4 linked regions of the Yarrowia lipolytica genome follow. The protein of the gene in region 3 interacts with the protein of the main gene of each other region in a biochemical or structural test. Links are inferred from orthologs where the notes say so. Each region holds a gene or a part of one and is shown on either strand. Other genes may lie near its edges. The genes, in order: YALI1_F34105g, YALI1_F03842g, YALI1_E07302g and YALI1_B27307g.

What was found.
Region 1: of the proteins of YALI1_E07302g (region 3) and YALI1_F34105g, one has a biochemical effect on the other in vitro, tested with the Schizosaccharomyces pombe proteins (2 studies listed by BioGRID). The link is inferred for Yarrowia lipolytica from reciprocal best matches to the Schizosaccharomyces pombe genes uba1 and rhp6.
Region 2: of the proteins of YALI1_E07302g (region 3) and YALI1_F03842g, one has a biochemical effect on the other in vitro, tested with the Schizosaccharomyces pombe proteins (2 studies listed by BioGRID). The link is inferred for Yarrowia lipolytica from reciprocal best matches to the Schizosaccharomyces pombe genes uba1 and ubc1.
Region 4: of the proteins of YALI1_E07302g (region 3) and YALI1_B27307g, one has a biochemical effect on the other in vitro, tested with the Schizosaccharomyces pombe proteins (2 studies listed by BioGRID, with this or other methods). The link is inferred for Yarrowia lipolytica from reciprocal best matches to the Schizosaccharomyces pombe genes uba1 and ubc7.

Annotation. Positions count from the first base shown.
Region 1 is NC_090775.1:3,408,241-3,411,536, reverse strand, and holds YALI1_F34105g (uncharacterized protein), read right to left. Parts: upstream 1,007-3,296; coding exon 551-1,006; downstream 1-550. Other genes in the region: YALI1_F34095g (uncharacterized protein), read right to left, coding at 1,419-1,594, 1,729-2,014; YALI1_F34083g (uncharacterized protein), read right to left, coding at 2,286-3,215.
Region 2 is NC_090775.1:382,014-385,868, reverse strand, and holds YALI1_F03842g (uncharacterized protein), read right to left. Parts: upstream 1,611-3,855; coding exon 1,427-1,610; intron 1,367-1,426; coding exon 918-1,366; downstream 1-917. Other genes in the region: YALI1_F03855g (uncharacterized protein), read right to left, coding at 1-213, 357-359; YALI1_F03830g (uncharacterized protein), read right to left, coding at 2,332-2,799. UniProt on the Schizosaccharomyces pombe protein: Catalyzes the covalent attachment of ubiquitin to other proteins. Functions in degradation of misfolded or regulated proteins localized in the endoplasmic reticulum (ER) lumen or membrane via the ubiquitin-proteasome system.
Region 3 is NC_090774.1:726,167-732,049, forward strand, and holds YALI1_E07302g (uncharacterized protein), read right to left. Parts: upstream 4,096-5,883; coding exon 1,048-4,095; downstream 1-1,047. Other genes in the region: YALI1_E07259g (uncharacterized protein), read left to right, coding at 1-150; YALI1_E07306g (uncharacterized protein), read left to right, coding at 4,494-5,282; YALI1_E07347g (uncharacterized protein), read right to left, coding at 5,751-5,883.
Region 4 is NC_090771.1:2,729,352-2,733,308, forward strand, and holds YALI1_B27307g (uncharacterized protein), read right to left. Parts: upstream 1,753-3,957; coding exon 1,646-1,752; intron 1,420-1,645; coding exon 1,017-1,419; downstream 1-1,016. Other genes in the region: YALI1_B27293g (uncharacterized protein), read left to right, coding at 13-597; YALI1_B27320g (uncharacterized protein), read left to right, coding at 2,719-3,906. UniProt on the Schizosaccharomyces pombe protein: Catalyzes the covalent attachment of ubiquitin to other proteins. Functions in degradation of misfolded or regulated proteins localized in the endoplasmic reticulum (ER) lumen or membrane via the ubiquitin-proteasome system.

The sequences.
Region 1 (3,296 bases), on a different chromosome or scaffold from region 3:
CCATTCAGTTTTCCAAAGGATAGAACATGCGCAGGAACTGCGGAACCATGTTGACCAAAATACCGCTTTCAATATAGCCACACGCGGCCCCCTTTCATTGTACAAGTAGTTTAATCCATTTAGCATCTCCGACGGGCTATAAGTCAGATGTATGAGGTGAAGTAGCGATGAGTATGTACTTGTACGGTACTGGTAGTTTGATAAGCTTCGTATTCAGCGGAATTACTGACGTTAATGACATGTCGGATTTACTACACCGGTCAAACGAAAAACAGCGACTTAGAATATCTCCTGATCCAGGTGGTTCACGTAAGCACGGTACTCTTCTTACAGCCTATTCCGGAAGGTTTGATTAGATATATGAACTGGTCTAGAACCAAACATCCCCATCAACGTCCATTGTCTAGTGGCTCAAACTGCATGATGGTGGCAGACGCCCTAATCTCTTCCTCATCTTTTCCTCCTCTTAATGCAACCGATGCGTGTCCCGCTAACGGGCCCCTCCCTCGTTCCCAGTAAAATGGTATCTCTAGTTCGTCTCTTATCCGCTCTAGTCGGTCCAGCTGGCCTCCACTGTGTCCCGCACCCGTTTTTCGTACTGCTGACGGTGATCCTTGTACAGCATAGACGCCTCCACGTTGGCAGGACTGGACGTATTGGGGTCGTTCAGCAGCGACTGCACCGAGGTCAGAATCGCTGCCACGTCATAGGTGGGCGACCATCGGTTTTGCAGAATGTCCAGACATAGCTCGCCAGATGAGTAGACGTTGGGGTGGAACATCTGCGAAACAAACTTGACGGCTGGCGGTTTGTTGGGGTACTGCTCGTCAAACTGCAGCACCATGCGGAAAGTGCCATCTTCAAACGGGGTCTCCGCCGGTCCGATGATCACGGCGTTCCATGTCAGCACGTTATCAGCCACAGGAGATGCACTGACTCCCTGGGGAGGATCCTGTTGCATGCGCTTGAAGTCTCGCATGAGACGTCTTCGAGCTGTAGTGGACATGGCTGTGGCTTGGTTTTTATTTTCTTTCTTCGGTTACCTGTCGTTACTTAACCGTGTGCGGCGTGGGGTGACGTGTGTTGTTGTTTGGTTGTTTCAGGTGGTGATGTAATGAGTTGTATGGCGCGCGCCAGTCTGGCTATCCAGACTTTGCATGTTGGGAAGAAGACAACCACTTTTATATAACGGAGTTAGGGTTGCAGAGAGGATGACAAATGTGGGTGGCGTAAAAGCCGGAATCACGGATGCCTTATATGCAATAGGGCAGGAGCCACCATACCCAGTATGTTACGGTGGCGATTTTTTGCGGGCTGTGCAACGTGTCACGTGACCAAGAAGTCTTCGATATGTACTAGTGCAACAGCAGTTCGGGCAACAAGCTAAAAACGAAAACAAGACTTCGGCTATATACAGACTATTTTTTGGAGGCAGAGTCGCTCTCCTCGGAGAACTCAATGTACTGGTTGGCGGCAGTGTAGAATGCGAATCCGACAGCCATCCACAAGATGGATCGGGTAAGCAATCGCATGCCCCGATCAGGATCCTGGTTAGGCTCTCGCGGTCCCCAGGGTCCAAAGTAGATGTAGTAAGCTGGGTTAGTTTATGGGCTCGTTTGTGGAATAATCAACCGGGGTAACGGTTGGGGCCCGCTCCGGGTTTGTGTCTCCTAGTATCTCACTCCTATACTCATACCCTTAGTGTCTGTTCTCCCCTTCCATACTCACCAGCTTGCTTCTCCTCAGGAGTCATAATCTTCCAGTCTCCACGCATCTGATCCTCCAGGTAATCGACGACATCCTGCTGCTCGTCGGTGGCCATCTTGGGCCATCGTTTGGGAATGTTCAAAGTGGAGGGCTTGATGGGGTTCTTGACCTTGTAGTTGTTGCCGCCAATGTGGAAAAAACCGTCATCGTAGGGGTCATCGTTGCCAAAGGCAGTCTGAAGGGGCGACTCTCGCTTCTTGAGCACCCGCTGAGACGTGCAGAAAAGACGCCGTGATTGTCTGAGCATTGTGTCCTGGTGTCGAGTTGATCTCGTGGAGATCTGCGAAGTATTGGGTAGGGTTAGGGTAATTGAGGAGGTGTAATGTTGGCGGTAGTGAGAGTGAGTAAAGCTGTGGGATTCTCAGATAGATATACGCTCGCGTTGTTTATTATCATTTCCCAGTTCGACACATACTATAATATTCTCCTACCACTGTACATTGTTGTCTACTCTACCTCCTCCGTAGCCTGTTCGGCCCTTCACCTACTGTAAATCTATCAATGTATAAATTATTTGCTTATTCGTCGCTCATAGGAACATCGTCCTTGCCTTCCGAATTCGTTTCCTTCTTGGGAGTCTCCTCTTTAGTCTCATTATCCTCTCCAGTTCTGGGGGAATCCTTCACAAGTTGAGGAACTTCATCAGTCTCTCCACCCTCATTGGATTCTCCCCCCTCACCATCTTTTCTCTTGGCACGCTTTCGTCGCACCTTTTTGACTGACTGGGAATCATCTTCCTTCTCCTCAGGTCGCTCTCGCTTACCCTGATCCTCCTTAGATACCTTCTTCTTCTTGACTGACAGAGGGTTAGGCGCCTTTGGACCCTTTCGCTTCTTGGCCTGCTCTTCATCTCCCTCAGGTGCCTTTCGCTTTACGGCATTGAGACCGGATGTGAGCTTGGACGCCTCAATCAGCTGACGAGCACGCTCAGAAGCAGGGGAAAAGGGCTCCAGCAGCATGATGGCTCGGTTCATATGAATGAGAGGGACTCCAGGAATGGACCGAAGTCGACCTCGCAAACTAGGATCTTGTGTAGCAACAACGTATCTGTGGACATTGGAGCCGTCGACAACAACCGATTTGTAAATGGCCTCGCTGGGATGCATCTTCCGGGCAGCGTTGGAACCATTGTACTTCAGCTTTTTCTCCTGGGTCTCAGTGCTATTTTCGAAATGCAGGGTTCGTCGACGCTCAAAGGTCTTGCCTAGCTGAATGGCCTCCTCGTTGTTGCTCTCAAACAGCTTGTTCAGACTGTGTTGCGTTATCATGGGCTTGACCTCCTTGGTCTGAAGCGTTCTTTGGAGACCCTTCAGCAAATCGTACTTGTGCTCGACACATTCAATGATGAGGTCGTGGTCCACCAGAACCTGGTAGGGCTCTCGGAACTTGAAGTTCAGATGGTAGCTCTGCATCTGCTTCTTGTAGTTTTTCGCTCTCTTTTGTCGCATTTTGTAAGGTCTTTTGCTGTGAGTAGTGAGTAAATAGAAAAATCTCACCTTAAATTTATTTCATGCAGTATTTTCGATATT
Region 2 (3,855 bases), on a different chromosome or scaffold from region 3:
TTCCTCCAGCAGCAGATGATCCTTGATTCGCTCCATCTTGAGCAGCTTGAGCTTGCATCGTGTCGTGGGGTACACGCCGGGCAGTTTGTTGGCGTTTTCGGGGCCCTTCTTCTTCTTTCGATGCGATCGTGTGTTCACGGGAGGCTCATACTTGGGCTTCTCGTTCTTCTTGTCGTCCTTCTTCTTGTCTCCGGGGAGTGATGGTCGGTTACCCTGGGGTTAGTACTGATTGTAGTGGTCATTCGCCACCTTGCGAGAATTGGATCAAAACCGGATTTTGTGACAATCGGCGTGTCGTGGCAACCGTTTGGCCACCATCCATTGCCCTCCAAGCGCAGAAACCGCGCTATACTCACCATGATGAATGTGTTGTGTTGTATGAGTTTGTAAGTGCTGGAACCTCTCTGGCTTGGCCACTGTGGTTTTGAGTTGTGTGTTCCCTTAGGCACACACAATTCAGTGCCGGGTAACTGTGATAAGTACTGCAAGTGAGTACACGATCAGACGTGCGTACAAGTAATCAGAGTACGGATCCAGACGATTTTTCGGGTGAGGTGTGTTTGCCACCCTTTGCTACTACCACCACGTGACCCCTTTTTTTGTCGATTCATACATTATTGTGCAAAATGTCCCATGGAATGTTCTAGGCACCATGGTAGAGATGAGTAAGCATTAAGCGAGCAAGCTACTATACCAATAGAAGTTAACGCTGAGGTTATGAGACCTGGTTACTGCTACAGTACTAATAGAAGCAAATTTGTAGTGACTAACAGTCGTTACTTACCCATTACTAAATCACACCCTTCAATACATTGCAACCATGACGCCATGACGCCACATCTACAAATAAATCTACTTGTACTGTGTGCTACTCATACGCCCACTGATATCAAGACTTATGCATATAAATTAACAGCCTAGTTCAGAAGCTCCTCGACCACTCTCTGCTCGTCCTCTTGAGACTGAGGCTTCTTGATTTGCAGCTTTTTGAACACGGCGATGATCTTGTCTTTGCCAAAACCCATGCTGGCGAATCCCTCAACGGCGTCTCGATCCAGGCCAAGGCGTGCGATCTCGTCTTGATCTCCTCCAGCGTTGCCACCGGCGTACTGGGCTGTCCATTCTGCTGCAGTACGCTCAAAAGCGGCCTTGTCGGTGAGATAGATCTTGGCCACCTCAGCATCCTGGGGGTCGTTGGGCTCGGCAGATTGCAGCAGCGACTGCAGCGAGATAAGCGACGATTTGAGCGTGAAGACAGGCGACCATGCGTCCTTGAGAATGTCGAGACAGATGGCGCCGGTCTGCGACGAAATGTTGGGGTGGTAAATGCGAGTGTCAAACTTCATTCGAGGAGGCTTGAAGGGGTCTGTGTTAGTTCGGCAGCGGCAGACATGGCCACATTGTCTGTGTGGCTCTCTTTACTCACAATCATTGGGGATCTGGATATCGACCACAAAAGTGCCGCCCTGGTAGGGAGTGCCGGGAGGCCCGTGGAAGGTGCCCTTCAGATGGGAGATGTCGGCATCGTTGATGGCCTGGATGGTGATGCCGGCTTCGGAGTCGGACCGCACATCCTCCATCTCTCTGGCTACTCGTCGGGCTCGTGACATTGTCTTTGTTGTATTTCTTTTCCTGTTGATGAGGAGGAGAGAGGGAGTCTCATAATGCTGCGCCTGCGATAATAGGTCCCAACCTCAAAAGTGGTTAGGTTGCAGCGGGTGGTGTTGCGGGGCACGTGAGGTGAGACTTTGAAGCAATGCTGTGTAGTGTATGTATAAAGATGGAAGGTTGCCTGGCGCATTTGAAGGTATTTGGCGCACTTATCTCACGGCTATTGCTACATACTACAGCTCCTGTTGCTGTGCCAAAAGATGGTTGCTCAGAAGAGTCTCTCCATCGCAATTACTGTAACGGACTGTCGAAAACTTTATATGACAGATACGACGTGGGTTGAGGGAGTGAAATACAGTGAAATAAAACTGATCTAAATTAAGCACTGGAATAAAAGCCTCTCCAACTACCAGTCGCACGCACAGTAGTTGATCTCTTGAATACTCAAGTACTACTTGCTTAGATTATTGCAGAAAGTTGCTATTAACGACATACTTGATATATTACAAGCCCCATTTCCATATGATTACTTCACTAAAACTCAGCTACTACTGTGAATGTTCTGTGCTTCTGCTCATACTTGTATGCGGCGATGGGTCTGGTTCTTCGAGCTCTACTCTCAAAGCTTCGGGACCACTCAGACCTGAAACAACAGCCACTGCTCGACAAAATCCTCGACAAAATCCTTCACAGTCTTGTCTAAACTAACCCAATCATTGTCTAGCACCTTTCGGGTTTACTCATTGTCTTGCCCTTGAGATCGGGAACCTCTTTGTTTACTGTATCCCGCAAATCCTGGTTGCACAACTTGGAGACACACGGCATAAGTCGCTGGTTGTCGAGGTTCTGGGGATGGCAGACACATGAGCTCTGACCCTCGGACGTATCTTGCCCGGGTGTGGTAGACAAGTGACCCTGAATGATGGTCCCATTAGTGGTGGAGTTGGGAGACTTCGCGTCTAGAGCAATACCACTACCAAACACGTAGCCGGGGTTGACGGTGGTAAGGCCAAACGAGGGCTTCTCAGACTTTATGAATCCCCAGGCCACCTTCCCTGCATACTTCTTGGAGCCCATGTAGGATACAAAAGCGTTGTCCTTATGAGAAGCTTCTCCCCATGCCACGGGAATCCACGACTCCTCGGTTACCAAGGAGGAATAATCGTTAGCCTCGTTCTTGTTGAGCATGGCTGCGAACGATGAGGTGATTTCCACGTGGGGAGCGTAGGTATTGCTTGACGATGACGACCTTGAGAACAGTCAGAGTTCTGTTGACGGAAGGCTCAGTAGATCCTTGACGGGGTCCTCGACATTGAAAGGTGAAGGAGAGGCGGTATGGAGCACGTATTTGATGCTTTTGAAGCCGAGTCTTGAACCCTCTTCAGATCGAACGTCGGAAACCGTCTCAAAAACCAGTTGTCCGGACTTGATAGCCTCGGAGAAAGCCACAGCTAGTCGCTGACCCTTTTCTTCTGATGGGATAATTCCCATGACTTTGTGATTGGCCTGGAGGAGTTTATCGATACAGTTGCCAGCAACGAAGCCAGCAGTTTACAATAACCAGATGCTCATGAATGAGCTAGAGATACCACTCCATGCGTTTACTTTGCACATGTTGAACTGAGCGGGGCTATATGTGATCCTAACTACGGTATATCAATGGCAATTCACTCGTGTTTGCACATAATTATTGCCATGGTGGTTACTATGGCTGGATTCCTTGTGATCGTCAAATTTCATATTTTCGACTTACTGTACTGTTTAGCTACTGCTTGTACTTTAGTTAGGAGTTTGTTTATAAGGGGGAAAATCTTCACCTGGGGATCTTAGTTCAGTGCTCTAAAGACATGTCAGGGAGATGAGAGAAACATCAGGGGATATCCTGAGCCCTGTAGAAAGGAAATATGCTGTATCAAAAACAGGCTATAGTGTTAAGTCTCAGTTTCTCTCAAATCACTGCTCCAGCCTTGAGTGCAATTTATTAGGAGTATAGTTGGTTTTTGTTGGACTCTGTTACAGTTTGAAGTGTAGGGCTGAGCTGAATCATCAGCAAGGAATGATCATGTTGCGAGACGTACTCACATGTGGAAGGGCACTTCAATTCTGGGAGAATTGTGTCTTCATAGTGTATATCTATTACTCCTACTTGTGTTCTATACATAAGGATGTGACTACAGCACATGTATAATACAAAGACATCCCGACTACGTTCCTGTATCTCGTACACTTGATGCTCGACAGTGT
Region 3 (5,883 bases):
ACCACGGAGGAGCTTGTCATCATCTGCGGCAACCACGACCTGACGTATAGCCTGCCGGTCCGCCGCTTGGAGCTCATCTACGTGGTGCTCACGGCAATTCCGGAAATCCGCGCCGAAATTGCCGCCTACAGTGATTGCGGAACCCCATGAGACTACCTTTTGTCTTTTCTCCATGCCTTTCCTTCGTGTCTTGTCTTCTTGACCCTTCTGGCACCCCGTTGCAACCCCAATCATTGTATTATCAAATGTAGATATTTATGTAACCCAATAATGTAATAGAGAGCTGAGCTGAAGTGGGTGGGTTAGAAGAATGTGAATAGTGTGGAGTGAGGGTTAGCTGTGCCAACAAACCGTTGTGTCAGTTGTCTGTGTACGAATGCGATAGGAATACTGTACCAATACATACTGTACCGGTACGAGTAGTTGTATCGTTTTACTGTGTCTCACCAAGAAATAATCCCTACTTATATACGATACTCCACAGAACCACTGCAACCCCAAAAATCACACCTCAACTCATCTCAAACAGACGCATTCGGTGTCGTCTCAGGAGTCGTCTCTATACCCCCTTGTGTCATTGTCATGCTGTCGCTAACATCCAGACTAATGCATTCGTAGCACTAAATTACACGCACTATACGCTGGTGAATACGTGCCTATGTAGAGGGAGTAGAACGTGTCGCACGTTTATACAGGCCTCCATCAGAAGGAGTTTCTTCTCCATTGGTGCAGCCTGAAAACACGCTCTATCTCATTTTTACTTCATGCTATAGTAAACATTTCATCTATTCACAGTAGAAACGAAACTGCCTTTATAATCAGAGACAGTAACGGCCTGACCAACTTTCAATTCAAACTTGGCATTGTCCTTGTTTGACCTCTCTGTCACGTTCTACGAAAGACTACAGTATTGCACCGCTTGTTTTTGCACAACCGTACTTATCATACTCTGCTGATCCACCGAGTCATTGGTAGTACTGCTTCCATACAGCTCATCTACTCATTAATTATATAGTCTAACACCTCTAACGATCGCCAAAGAGCTCTCTAAAGATGGAGACAAACATAGGGGATATCGTCGACATCCTCACCGTCCTGGTCCTCGGCACAAACCTCAAAGATCAGAGTCTTAACGTGAGGCTCGAGCTTCTTCTTAGTGACGGCCTCCACCAGCTCGGTCAGAGTCAAATCGTACTTCTCGTTGAGCTTGGCAGGAGGGAAGAAGGAGGCGTACAGGAGAGACACGTTCTGGGACAGCATGGTCACCGTCAGGTTGTAGTTCTTCTCAAAGAACTCCAAAAACTGCTTGAGAGTCAAGTTCTCGTGAATGTCGTATCGACCCCAGATCTTGTCCAGCTCGACACCAGCAATCTCCATCTTCTGCGAAGCAATGGGCTCAGAGAAGCCCAGAAAAGGCAGAGCGAGATTGACAAAGCCGTTCTTGTAGTCCTCGATCACCTCTCGCTTGTCCACCACCTTGTAGAGCTCCAGACAGACAAGACCAGTCACCAGAGCAGTGGTGGTAGCAATAGCGGGAATGATTCGTCCAGCAATGAACTTGGTCTTGTGTCGATCAGCGCCGTCAATAGCGTAGTTCTGAGCTCGACAGTTGGAGGCAGCCGTGATGAACTGGATGTGGAAGTTGGTGTCATCGTCCTTCTCAAACTCAACGGGAGTGAGTCGGAAACCAGCCAGAGAAGAAGGAGGAGGCAGCGAGTTGGCCAGCTGGGTCAGCTCCTCGGAGTCGGCATCCACAGGGTCGACGCTCTCGTTCTCGTTGGCCTGGATCTTAATACCGGACTTGGGTTCAAACTTGGGCACAGTCATGTTGTCCACAACTTCCTTGTACTCAGAAACATCAAGGTCATCACCTCGGATACCGTAGTTGAAGGCTCGCAGATTAGCGCCAGCAATGAGAAAATCCAGATGGTCCTGGTTGTTGAAATCAAATTCGAGAGCGTCAGGAGCTCGCTTAGGTCCAGACCAGAAAGGAGCACCAGTAGAAGTGGTGGCGTCCTTGGGGAAGTTGTACAGAAGCTGACTAATGTCGCCGTTGAACTTCTTCTCAAACTCCAGACGGGCCCACTGGACACACTCCTTGAAAGTCGTAGGTCGTTCGTCCACCAGGTACGACTTGATGTTCTCCAGAATAGACTTCTGGTCACCAGTCTGCTTGAGGGTGGACTCCACAAAATTGGGCTGGCTCAGAAACAGATTCACAGACTCAACATTGTCGGTAAAGTAGCCCTGGAAGATGGATTTGGCCCAGGCAATCGTGTGGTCAACCTTATTAGGGAAAGATCGCAGAGTACAGAGGGGAATGCCCTTCTCAGGGGGATCCTGGGAGGAAGAGTACGATTCAGTCAGGTTGGGGTAGACAACCTGCACGTTACCCTTGGTTCCCAGGGTTCCTGACTCGAGCAGAGGCTTCTGGAAAAAGACACATCGTCGATCGACGTAGGTTCGGGCGTCAACGTTGTCCAGAGCGTTAGTCACAAAGTCCAGAGACTTCCAGAACGAGTCGTCGAAGATGTTCTCGGTATCGGGACCGACCTTGTCGAGCTTGGCATCAAAGTGGCCCTTGAGATCAGGGTTCATCTCTGCCACAGCCTCGGTAGCGGTCACGGACTTGTGTTTGCCCACATCCTTGGGTCGGAACAGAAACTGTCGGTTAAGGTTGGACTTCTCAATCACGTCGTTATCGGTCACGTGGATCTCTCCGTCCTTTCCAAGACCCATGAGAGCCCAGTTCTTAAGCATCTCGCAACCGATGGCTCCAGAGCCAACCAGGAAAGTCTTAACAGCAAAAATCTTCTCGGTGAACTCCTTACCAAAGACGGCAACCTGTCGGTCATATCGCGAGCCGGTGGGAGCCACAGACTGCTCAGTTAGAGCCACGTCCTTGGGCAGAGACTCCAAAGAGTCGAAGTAGACCCACTGTCGGATGGGGCCAAACTTGCCCGAGCAGCCCTTCAGTACCTCCTGGGCAGCCATTCCACCAAAGAGAGCAGTCATGGCGGGCAGTTCACCAGCGGCCTGGAAAGACAGCTGGGTGAGCAGCTTTTCGTCGATTTCGCCTCCAGAAAGCACGTCGGGGTACTCTGCAGTGACGCTCTTGGCCAGGTGCAGCACCTCGTTGGCGTCCTCGGTATTCTGAGGTCGGGGGGCTCGACCGTGCTTCTGCTGGAACGCCTGGACGGCCATGAAGCCGACATGTAGCTGTGCGGGTCGCTCCATCTTGGCGAAGTCGGAAATCAGTAACTCGGGCTTGGCCAGCTGCTCCTTGAGCGAACCAAACGAAATCTCCTGGGGCATCTTGACCTGGGTGAAAAGACCTCCCTTCTTGTAGGTGCCCAGACCGTCAACAGAACCAATATTGAACGAATAAGGACCTGTGACCTTGATCTTTCGGGGAGTGTCACCGTTGATATCGAGACCCTCGACCTCAGTGAACTTAACATAATCTCCATCCTCAAGGTTGTGTCGAGTCTCATCGAGAGCAGCAACGTTACCCTCCTCGTCAATACCGGCAATGATTCCGGAATGGGGCTCCTCTCCGTTGGCGTCAATCAGAGCAAAAGATGAGCCAAAATCGACAAAGATGTTACCGAAAAGACCTCGGGTGTCTGTGCTGACAAACCCAATATTCTGCTTGTGTGTGATTTCGTTGACTCGAATCTGTTCTTCTAGAGAAGCATTGGTCAGCACAACCACCTGGAATCGAGCCACCTCCTCCTCGGAGAGATCCTTGGCCTCCAAAACGTGCACAGGAACGTACGAATTGAGCTCTGCCAGTCGAGGCTGAGACACCTGGTCTCGTCGCTTGCCCACGTCGTCCTCTCGCAGGAAAAACTGGGCACTGAGATCTGCAACCTCGGTCTTGCCGGGGTCATACAGAGTCAGCGACTTGACTCCAGCCAGAACAATGTTCTTGGCAATCTCAATTCCCAGACCCTGGAGACCCACGATAAGAACGTTGGAGTTGGCCATCTTCTTCATGGCCTCGTGTCCAAGCACATAGAGCTGTCGCGAGTACAGGGACTCATCAATTTCGCCTGCGTTGTCGATTTGCATCTTGTCTGACTTGTCTGACATTGCAAAAGTGGTAGTTGTGTAAGTGTAGATTGAACTGTGGCAAGGAATCGTGTGGAACTAAGTGTCGTCAACCTTGATGTTGGGTTAGGGTAAACGGAGATAATGTGGAGCAATGAATAATTGAGGACATTATATATAGAGAAAGGGAGGTTTGGGTTTAAGGTTGAGTCATAAGGGCCTTTTAGTTGCTTACCAATTGATTTGCTATCTTCGTTTGCTACATGTTTGTCGTATTAGAAGTCTTTAGTCAGCACCACCACGCTGTATCAAAATCAGGTCACCCGCAGCTTACGTAATTAGCTATCTACCAAATAAACTTCGCTCCCAACGCTAACCACGCCTGCACCAACATCGTGCAGAAATTTATTTGTGAGTTTCACTATCAACCACACAACACTATGACTGACCGAAGACGAGTTTTGGGGCCTGCTGACGCGGTGCCATTCACCCTGGACAACATCAAGCCGACCGAGGTTGAGCAGAAAAGCCTGGATATCGGCAGCATCTTCGTCAAGACCGGAGTGGTCGAAAACGCAAACGGATCGGCCTACTTGGAGCTGGATGATATCAAAATTGTGGCCATTGTCCATGGTCCTCGACCTATGAGAGGTCTGTTCACAACATCGGCCATCCTGAACGTGGACACAAAATTTCTCCCTGTCTCTCTCTGCGATATTGAGAGTAAGAGTGCTGTGGTTAGCTCCACCCAGCTGACCCAATACATTCGATCTGCCAGCACCACACAGAGCTCTTCTCTGCAGAAGAACGTTTCATCGTACGTCCACACCTCTCTCCTGCCCAGCATATTGGTCGAGAAGTACCCCAAGTCCACCATCGATGTCAGCATATCAGTTCTGTCTTCTTCCAATAATACCAAGACCACCGTGGCTGCCGCAGTTTCGTGCGCTGGCGCCGCTCTGGCCGATTCCGGTCTCGAGTGCACCGATATTGTGACAGCAGGAAGTGTGCTGCTCGATGAGAACAAGGCAACTGTGTCGCCCTCAAGAGCACCTACCAGCGAGATTGACGGAGTAGTATCCTACATGGCAGCAAGCAAGAAGATTGTGGGCATGTGGATTGAAGGCGGTAACGTGAGCGAGAAGCAGATGGAGGAGATTTTCGACAAGACCGAGGAGATGGCCCGGGAGATCAGAGGAGTCATGCATGGAGTTTTGTTGGAGCAATAAGGAATGACTGGAATGAGTCTGTGAGCATGCGTGGAAAACTTAGTGGCACAACATACTGAGGGTGTCATAAGTATCCTCACCGATAGAATGGTTCACCGACCACGTGAATGGAGGAGTGCACAGAGTCATACAGCAGCTAGGGTGCTTGATGTCGCGTTTAAAACACAACCAACCAAACTACGGGTACATAATATTACATAGATAACGCATTGAACATTACATGTTACGTAGTTGTAAGTGTCAATTGCGGTCAATCAATGTACTGTCATCACCATTCTATCTACTATAGACCCCTACGTCAAGGTCTGTAGCCCGTGGCCCAGAATTACACGTCACTCGCAACTCTGGTTTGTGCTCTTCACTTGATCCGATATTTGTTGACACACACACACACACACACACACGTTCTTCCAGATATGCTCTCTGCAAACAATTTTCAATCTATTCATACATATTCATTCTCCTCCTTTATACAGTAAGACCTTTAAGGGCGTCTCTAATTCTGAGCAGTCGCTCAGCCAAATTCTCCACAGACTCATCCGATTGAAGCACCTCCTGCGCCAGCTCAACGTTGAAATACGCCTGAACGGCAGCCTGCACT
Region 4 (3,957 bases), on a different chromosome or scaffold from region 3:
GGACCAGCTAACATGTTGACAGAAGACCAGATTGACGACGTCATGTTCGACGCCCGAGGAGGCGAGCTCGAAAGCATTGAAAAGTTCTTCTCCGCTCAGGACAAGCCCCTTGAGACCCTCAAAGAGGTCAAGGACCAGTACACAGAATCCACCCCTCTGCACTATGCCGCTGCCAACGGTCACATTGACGTTGTCAAGTATCTGCTTGGTTTGGTTGCAGAGGATGCCGAAGCCCAGGCCGCTCTCATTTCCGCCCAGAACGACTCGGGCAACACAGCTCTGCATTGGGCAGCATTAAACGGAAACCTGGACATTGTCAAGCTGCTGTGTGAGGCCAAGGCCGATCCCTTCGTCAAGAACCAGAGTGGACAAGATGTGCTTTACGCCGCCGAGAACTTTGACAAGGAGGATGTCATTGACTACCTGCTGGAGAACTATGATTATGCACCCAAGGAGGATGAGAACATCAAGATTCGATATGAGGATGAGGCTGACGAGGCTAACGAGACTGACGAGGCTGACGAGGCAAAGGAGGAGACCGCTGAGGATAAGGAGACTGAGGAGGTTACTGACACCCTCAAGACCACTTCTGTTTAAGCACATAAAAGGATATTTAATAGATTGTATGATTGATAGAGTTGTGTGTGTGAATGTGCTTGGTAGTTGATGTGTTGTTGACTCATGGACCTTGTGCCTAACGGCAGTAGAATGAGCACAGTATTGCACATTACTGTAAGGCTGGAGTCGGCGTATCACTTCTTTCATCGTAATCACATACTTGAGCGAGTACAAGTAGCTACTGTACTTGTAGATCATTGAAGTGAGCTCAGGCAGACATGCAAATGCTTCCAAACAATTAACCGCAACTGCACCACTTTCAGTTGACACTGCTGGTTTTCAGCTACTCTTTTATAGTAGTCACCTCTGTTTACAACACCATCAAACTCGTTAATCTATTGTACTCGATAATATCACTCCTTGACGCACTCAACCTCTAGTAACGTCCCATGCACTACCTATAATCCCAAGGCCTTTCGAACAGTTCCTCGGACAATCTTGACAAACTGTTCCTGGTCGTCTCGCCACATTTTGCTGGCGTCAATGTTGGCCCCTGACTCGTCGTTGGGCTCGGCTAGCATGCTCATCACCGACAGCAGAATCTTGTCTACCGACTGGATGGGCGACCACCGTTCCGAAGCGCTCTCATACATGTTGGGATCGTCACCAGGAGCATGCAAAATGGAAATACACACGGTTCCGTCCTTGTAAATGTTGGGGTGGTACATTTCGCAGGTGAACTTCATCACTGGAGGGGACAGGGGGTAATCCTGGGGGAATTTGAGTGTTGCGGGGAACAGGCCACCCTCGTACGGAGTATCATCTGGTCCCTGTATCAGACATTCCCAGAGTAGAAAGTTACTGTGTTAGTGGAGTTGTGGCATGATTGTGGATTGTAACCGGGTATCATAAGCACAAGGAAACAGCATGACATATTACTGGACAAATGTGTAATCAAACTGACTGGATGAAGTCGATGTTTGTTTGGCCCCGAAAATGGACCGTAACAATATTATCGTCTTTCCGGACACCGCATGAAACACACCATGTCAGCCTGAATGTGATTGTGTCTCCCCACTTCACTCACTCTTCGTCAGCAGGACCTGCACTGATTCCCTGGGGAGGATCACTAATGAACTGCTTGTACTCCTTCATGAGCCGCTTCTGGGCCACAGATGGTCGCTTGCCCGACATGGTGTATGGTATTTTTGGTTGTGTGTGCTGGTGAGACGTTGATTGATCTGGGGATGCGTGCTTAATGTTGTCGCGTGTACTTGGCGGCTTAGTCAGCTAGTATCAATGCACCCGAATATTGCCCAATTGAACAATCGATTTCACTTCGGATTAGCCTTATTTGAGTCATGTGACGTCCATAGTGTCCAGTATTCCATTTCCGATTTTTCCCCCCTGTTCTCATTTGATTTCCGGCGCACACCCAAAGCATGCTCGTAGTCATAGATCATGATAACCCTATTGCCCCTGTTCAGCCTTAGAGGAAGCGATTACTTGTGAATACTGGTACAAGCGCGATACTTGTGCTTACATGCTGGTGTTTGTCTATGGTTGACCGCTTCAATAATTTTGAGGCTTCCTTTCTATGCATGTGGCTACCCCGCTCCATAAATCTGTGCTCATCGTAATATTACAATCCTGCCATAACTGTGCCACTCGCTTAATGCCAGTGCCAACCCCTTGCTACAATACGTTGAGTTGAGGATAAGTACTTGAAAGGTGGGTTTCACACGTGACTTTTTCCTTCTTTTGCTCCTTGCAAGAACACCCACCTTTTTGCTGCATAACTCTGTTGGCTGTGATCAATGGGCAAAAAAAAAAGCATGCCTTTGATTGGTACAATTGAGTGGGGGATCGTTGTAATTTGACGTGGCCCGGCAGTTTGGGACACACATAAGCCATAGTACGCACCACAATGCCGCATTTAACCGGTCAAAAAGGGCCATATAATTACGTTGGGGCGACGAGGGGCGTTCGTGGCCCATATGCCGATTAGTGAGTTTCGCTCAAAGTTCGCATATATAGGGCTAGGGTAGGCCGTGTGGAAAAATTTTTATTAGGTATTTCAGTTTTGGGTCTTCAACTCTTGAACACATATACATTTGTGCAACAAGGTATATTTGATAAAAAACACCAATTGAAAACAAAATGGCCGACGGACTCACCGACATCGATTCTTCCCAGATCACCACCAACTACGACGAGGTTGTTACCTCTTTCGACGACCTTGGACTCAAGGACGAGCTGCTCCGAGGTATCTACGGTTACGGTTTTGAGAACCCTTCCTCCATTCAGCAGCGAGCCATCCTGCCCGTCATCAAGGGTAACGATGTCCTTGCCCAGGCCCAGTCTGGTACTGGTAAGACTGCCACCTTCTCTATCTCTGCTCTGCAGAACATTGACGAGAAGATTAAGAAGCCCCAGGCTCTGATCATTGCCCCCACTCGAGAGCTGGCCCACCAGATCCAGAAGGTTGTCCTTGCCTTTGGCGAGTACATGAAGATTGAGTGCCACGCCTGCATTGGTGGTACCTCCGTCGCCGAGGACATCCGAGTCATCCAGGAGGGTGTCCACGTCATTGTCGGAACCCCCGGTCGAATCCACGATATGATTGAGCGACGAATCCTCAAGACCGACCTCATCAAGATGTTCATCCTTGATGAGGCCGATGAGATGCTTTCTCGAGAGTTCAAGGACCCCATCTACGATATCTTCACCACCCTCCCCGAGACCACCCAGACCGTTCTGCTGTCTGCCACCATGCCCGCTGAGGTCCTCGACATCACCGGCAAGTTCATGCGAGACCCCGTCCGAATTCTTGTCAAGAAGGATGAGCTGACCCTTGAAGGTATCAAGCAGTTCTACATTGATGTTGAGCAGGAGTCCTACAAGTTTGAGGTTCTGTGCGATCTCTACGAGACCATCAACGTTTCTCAGGCCGTCATTTTCTGCAACACCCGACGAAAGGTCGACTACCTGACCCAGGCTCTGACCGAGGCTGACTTCACCGTCTCCTCCATGCACGGTGAGACCGAGCAGTCTCAGCGAGATGTCATTATGAAGGCTTTCCGAACCGGTTCTTCTCGAATCCTCATCACTACCGATCTGCTTGCCCGAGGTATCGATGTCCAGCAGGTTTCTCTGGTCATCAACTTCGACCTGCCCTCCAACCGAGAGAACTACATCCATCGAATTGGTCGAGGTGGACGATTCGGCCGAAAGGGTGTTGCCATCAACTTCGTCACCTCCGAGGACCACGGTATGCTCAAGGAGCTCGAGCGATTCTACTCCACTGAGATCGTTGAGATGCCCACCAACATTGCCGATCTTATTTAAACCGAGCTACCTTTTTAACCATTGTAGTGAGGCAACTGAGCGCCCCAGTGA